2 separate regions of the Mus musculus genome follow, and region 2 is reported to be linked to region 1. Evidence: microRNA targets listed by miRTarBase, many of them from high-throughput screens and not tested one by one. Region 1 holds a microRNA gene; the other region holds the end of a gene's coding sequence.

Region 1 (3,144 bases):
CACAAGTCTAACCTTCCCAGGTAACTGGCCCATTTGGGTCTGGTGTACCTTCAATCTCTCTTTTTTTATTTTCTTAAAAGAAACATTTGAGAGCTGAGCATCTAAGATGGCTTTGGATTCACACCCACTGTCTGTGGAACAGCTTGAGGCTGACAAGATTAGCTCGCTGGAACGCTCTGGGATCCGTTCAGCCTAAGCTGCTGCCCACACACCAGCCTTGCTCACAGAAGCTGCTTTCCGCAAGCAGCAGCCCGCTTCACCTCCTCCATCCTGGCTCGTGGAACTGGTCCTTGATGTCCTACCTGGTCTTGAGGACAGTGGCTTCCAGCCTCAACCAGTCCTCATTCCCAGATTCCAGGATGTGACCATGGTGATGTCTCAGCCTCTCCAGAGGAGTCCGAAGGGTGATACTTCTGTCCTTCCTCCTCCCATGTCTAATCACCTGATTTTACAGAACCCAGCATAGCGAGCAGTGCTGCAAGCTTCCTTCCCCTCCCTCGGCTCTCTTCTTCTGTCCCTTCTTTCTGTAATATCCAAGGGGACCAGACAGAGTGGGCCTTGATAACACACATTCCCTTGGCTCCAGAGCAGTAGCTTCTAAAACCTGTAAATAAGACAGCTCTATGCCCCTGTGTAGACATACACCCCAAGGATAGGCTGGCTCCCTGGTACCTGTCCAGAGTTGAGAGTTCAAAAGACAGACCAGTGGATAGAAATGCTATCATGCCCACCCACCCCCACCCCGCCAAGCAAGGCCTGCTGGCTCATGTACCTGGCCAGACATTACATGAGCAACGGGCAGTAATTGTTGTCTAATCTCTTCCCAGAGGTTTCAACTAGTTCCAAACTGTTGTGGCTAATAAAAACAGAGAAGATTTGCAAGAAATTCCAGGTGCATCGGAACACTTTGGGGGATTGTGCAGCCTGCAGGCAGACGAAACTTAACTCAAATAAACATAAGGTAATATGTGTTGGCAAAAGTAACCTGAAGTGGGAGTATACAACTGTACGTTTCAAATTGGCTGCTGCCTGTAAGGATGGAGATTGGTAGTAGCTCAGAATGGATGAAGTGGGCAGAGTAGCCAATGTGCATCCCAGAATAACCGAGGCAAATCAGATCTCATCTCACACAGACCCCATCAGTGGCCCAAGATGGAGCACATGACAGATTCCGCAGTCCCACTTTCTACTTTAAGGATGAGGAGACATCGTGGAGTGGCCTCCAGATTTAGGGGTCTCCTGTGAGCCAGGAATGTGTGGTCATGTTCTCAATGGAGCGAGTAAAAGAAAGTGTCTGTTTTTGTTCATTGAAGTCATTGACTCCAAGCCCTGGAAGCTGCCATGTTACCTCCATCTGCTGCCTAACTCTCAGGGCCACATTTAGATAAAGAGCCGAACTTCTGAACTGCAACAGCCCTGGACTTCAGTCAATTCCCTACTTTCTTACAGAAAAGAAAATATTGAAAAGCTGTATTATGGTGTCTTATATGAATGTGCTAGTTTCCAGGATGGGAGGGGCTGTATATTCACCTATATTCACACACATATACATGTGTGCATGTGATATACATTCATGTACACCCTCCTATAGAAATAAGTGTATGTGTGTGTGTGCATGCATATGTGTATATGTGTATGTATGTGTGTGCATATACACATGGGTGTGCATGTGCATGAGTGCATGTACGTGTATATGCATGTTCTCTATTGATATGTGTGTGTGTGTGTGTGTGTGTGTGTGTGTGTGTGCAGGTGTGTATATACATATATATGTGTGTGTGTGTGTGTGTGTGTACATGTACATGTGAGTATGTGTGTGTATATGTTTGTACATGTGCATGTGTGTGAGTATGTGAATATATGTGTATATGTGTGCATGTGCATGTGTGTGTATGGTGAGTAGGTGTTACTAATTGTGACTCCGATGGCTGTGTCTCCATCTGGCCTAGGTGACAGGTAAGCAACTGCACTGATCTTTCACAGGTAGCAGCAGCCTTATAGGGCAGGAGAAGACTGGCACCTCTGCACTGGCCGTGACCTTACCTGCAAGCCCCCGAGGAACAGGAGCTTTTTTACTCCTCCATCTTCTGGCTTCCCAAGCAGGTGCTGATATCTTGACAGGGAAGGGGAAATGCTCTGTCCTGGCCCTCTTGCCTCACAGAACTAAAAGCTAAACATGGCTTCAACTACCTCAGCGGCTTTCTTCTCCCACAACCACATGCAGTAGAGAGGCCCAGCGCTGCAGAATACATCTGTGATAGGAGAGGAGAGCTTGGATCTGGAATGTTCTAGAAAGTGATGGAATAATTTGAAATCCAAACTGTCTAAAGGCTGAAGAAGAAAGGAAGCCATTGCCACCTGCAGGAAGCAGCCAGGTCCTTTTGACCTCTCAAAGTTCTTGGCTGTGAGGTTCCATCATTCAGCTGATAAAACAGAGGAACAAATGTTACACAGGGAAGTTCACAGGAAAAGGGTCAGTACAGAGTGTGCAGAGCTTCTGGTGGTATAAAAGCCAGTCACTGAAAACTAGGGACATGTCCTCAGTCCTTGAGACCTGAAGTCATCTCTTCTCTTCTAAGCATCCATTATACCCAGGATTCCACAGCCCTAGGCCTTCTGGAAACAAACTTCATTTCCCCAAAAATTGTCTGCTACCCTAATGCCACCGGAACAAGTTTTTTAGCTCTTGGGTTATAGCTCAATGATGAAACACTTGCCCAGCATATACAAGACCCCAGATTCCACCTCCAACAACAACACAAAGCACGCCAGTACATCTCAGCCTGTGCAGAGGCTCAAATTTCGAAGGAAATAGGAAATAGATTCATTCATTCATTTAGTGACTCTTTCTCTTCTGCTGTGTATGAGACGCTGTGTTAGGCAACACCAGAAATAAGGTAAAGATTTAGCAGGTGACCACAAACGAGAAAGTGCAGTGCGTTCTCCACTTTAATCAGAGCAAGCCAGCAAATAAAATGTTCTAGGCAGTTTGTCTTGGCACCAGCCACAGGAATTTACCTGTGACATCCTAATAAAGAGGACACTGAGACATGACATCCACAAGGACTTGATTGGCTCTCCTGGAGCTGATTGTGCACACCAACCCCCAGGAAATAAGGCCAGGAGGTCTGTGGTGAAGCCTGA
Region 2 (3,144 bases), not on the chromosome of region 1:
ACAGCAGATTTCTTGTTTTGAGTTTCGACTTGAGCGAAGCTGAAGAAAATGCCAAAATAATATGCAAATATTAATCTGCCATATGTGGAGCTTCTAGCAATTTTTTTCCTCGGGAGCTGTCATCAGGATTCTGCCTCTCTTATTATTTTGGGTGTTTGTTTGTTTGTATATATATATATATATATACATATATATATATATGTATATATAATCTGTTCTGTATTTCATTATAGTGGGACTTTTCCCAGTGGACCGTACCTTCTCATCATCATTTCTTTATTTGTAGGAAATTTTGACTGGGTAGGGAATGACTTTACCCAGAACGCTGGCACGGGCCTTGTCATCAACCAGGCAGATGTGAGAGACAACAGGAGCATCATTAAGCAACTGAAGGACGTGTTTGAGAGGGACTGGTATTCGCCTTATGCCAAATCCATACAGCCCACCAAACAACCGAACTGTTCAAGCCTGTCCAAACTCAAGTCTCCCTCCAAGCAACCTGCCATGGCCAATGCCACCGGGAGGGAGCCGCTGAGCGTATAGCTCACTAACAGACACACAAGGCTTCAGACCAAATGCAGGAAGGACTAGAGGAAAGACAACAATTTACTACATCTTTTCTTTTATTAAGGAGAAATAAAAAGCACACTTATTTAAAATGTTCTCTGAATGACATGTAATATCTAGCTAACAACATCTTAGCACTGTATATTAAATTTAAGACTTTTGTATCTATGAGCTCTGACAGAGAATGTTGTTCTGGCCTAGGAGTTAGTTTTTAATGACTGCAAACACATTTTACGACTTGGTTCTTGTCTCCTGATTCTTACTGGTTTTAGAATCTTTTCTGCTGACCCATCAGCACTGGTTTTAAGAAGAATAACATGAGGTGAGCCCTTTCCTTTAATATTGCTGAATTCTGGAATTAGAGGAAGGGGGGAGAAGATGCAGACAGAACCAAGCATCTGCCCTGACATATCCTCTCTAAGACCTATCCAGGCAGCTGAGCACAGGCACCTCCATTTCATGCCAGCCTTCAAGACTTCTGAAAAACACTCATTTCTGTCCCCTTGTTCCTTGTCTTCTGATACCAGGGTTTTGAGGGTATCAGTCTGTCTTCTGACAAACATGTTCTTGTTTTACATCATCCTTGGATTCATCTCAGCATTAGTTCAAAAAGTGAGAATGTCTTGGGGAAATGATATGAATTCCCCAGAATGTATACAGAATGGAAATCAGTCTTTCACTTTCTCCTTTCAATTACATTTTTTAAACACACACACACACACACACACACACACACACACACACACACACATATCCTTTCCTCAAGCTCCAAAAAAAAAAAAAAGAAAGAAAAAAAAAAGAAATGAAGTGCCCCTGCTAATACCCAGCAAGCCATTAAGTCTGCATTTGAAGAATAAAGCAGTTTCACATTTCTGTTTGGTTAACAGTATTATAAAGGAAAGGTCTATGCGTCGGTGGATTTTAATTTATTTAGAATTATTATGCTGTTAAGAGTATGCCAGCAAATGTTTATAATAGAGCTATTTAATATACCTTCTGCTATTTAATATACCAAATGCTTTTCAGACAAATGCAATTTAAATACTGTGCTTAACATATTTTACTAAGAAACAGAAATATTGGATTACTGTTCTATAATGTCATTGTGTGTTGTTTTATATCTATATAATATATAATCCTGTATTAAAAAAGACTGTTGGTACATGAGAGGGGTGTGACCTCTTCAGGGCCAGAGGAAGTGGTCAAGATGCCTATGCCCAGTGTGGCTCCTGACTCTGTGCTCAGAACAGAGCCCTTCCCTCTTTGGCCCCGGTTTTCTATTGTTAATGTAGACAATAATCCTCACCTACCTCGCAAGGATGCTGTCATGGTAGGCGATATTTATAAGTTGTTTTTGAAATCAAAAGAACCTATATAAATGCTAAGCATTAACATTGCATAATCTTTTTCTTGAAATAATCTCTGTGGTATCCTGGTAGCACCAATACCAGGCACTCTCCCGAAGAATCCAGAGGGCAAAATAAAGCACTTTCTGTTTGCAAACACAGGTGATATGAATGGGGGCCAGGGGTGGAGAAGGTTGGTCAGAGTGACCATCTGAATGGTAGGTATTTGAATGGAACATGCAGCCTGGTCACGGTGACATAAATAATAACACATAACTAGATGCTGCGCTGCAAATGGTCCATTAGCACCAGTGTGTGCCTGTGTTTTTAGAACAAGGATGAGCAATCTCATTTGATCTTGAGAGACTTGGTTTTAATGATGCCAAAAAGAGTTCCCTACTCAAAGGTTCACTGACACAGAAGGCTGTTCACAGTCCTACTGATCACCCATGTTCTTTTCCTGCCAAAGACACCTGTCACCTCACTGGGTGTTTAAAACCAGTCAAGAGAGCTGGGACAGTATCCAGGCATGGCGATGCATGCCATTAATATCAGCTCACTGGGGGGTGGGGGTGGGGCAGAGGCAGGAAGATCTTTGTAGGTTAGAGGCTACATAGAAAGTTCTAGGACAGCCAAGGCTACATAGAGAGAGACCCTGTTTCAGAAAAACAAACAAAAATTAATGGAAAGAAAAAGAGAGAAAGACAGAGATTAAGAGAGGGACAGGGACACAGCATCCGATGAGAAAGCTATGATTAAAGGGTATCGAGTTTTATGGGCTGATTTAAAGACTCTCAGTGATACTTTTCATTAATAATGGTCAGCCTACAAGACTCTTAAGTATTTACCATATACTCCATCCTTGAATTGGGTGTCATCCTGGCAGCTGTCTGAAAATAGCTTTGGGAATAATTTTCCAAGGAAGGAAGGAGGCAATGGTTCAAGGTGGAGACATACTAGCTTGTTCACTCTTGGACAGACAAAGGGAACCTTGGTTGATTCAAAGGGAAACTTCAAAGGTTGTCTCCCTTTGGGCTCCCTCCATTGTCACCCAGATTCCTTGTCAATAGTCTCATGAGACAAACAAAGGTTTGGGGGCATGGGCCCTCTCCCTGTTGCTGCCTTGGGTATTGTGCAATAGGAAAAGAGATCATTGTCACTTATGAAATGACCAGCAGGTCACTTATTCCCAAACGTACCATCATGGCAGCCCTGTGCATGTATCACAGGC

The links. Region 1 holds the annotated microRNA mmu-miR-466k (UGUGUGUGUACAUGUACAUGUGA, at 1,786-1,808, shown strand). A microRNA usually pairs through its seed, bases 2 to 8, with sites in the 3' UTR of a target mRNA and lowers its output. Matches are read on the target gene's strand: a 7mer-m8 pairs with bases 2 to 8, a 7mer-A1 pairs with bases 2 to 7 and ends in A, and an 8mer does both.
Region 2: miRTarBase lists Pld5 as a target of mmu-miR-466k. Seed matches in the 3' UTR shown: 7mer-A1 at 555-561, 7mer-A1 at 1,274-1,280, 8mer at 1,275-1,282, 8mer at 1,277-1,284, 8mer at 1,279-1,286, 8mer at 1,281-1,288 and 15 more.

The regions. Positions count from the first base shown.
Region 1 is chr3:85,465,611-85,468,754 of GRCm38, forward strand. Mir466k (microRNA 466k) reads left to right here and starts at 1,767; the gene lies at 1,767-1,888. All of the region lies in intron 1 of Gm31419 (a long non-coding RNA gene), which reads right to left.
Region 2 is chr1:175,961,227-175,964,370 of GRCm38, reverse strand. It overlaps Pld5 (phospholipase D family, member 5), which reads left to right. Exons shown (of 10, transcript NM_176916.4): 10 at 287-2,065. The coding sequence ends at 543. Among named protein-coding and RNA genes, the nearest start is that of Becn2, 42 kb to the right of the region's middle.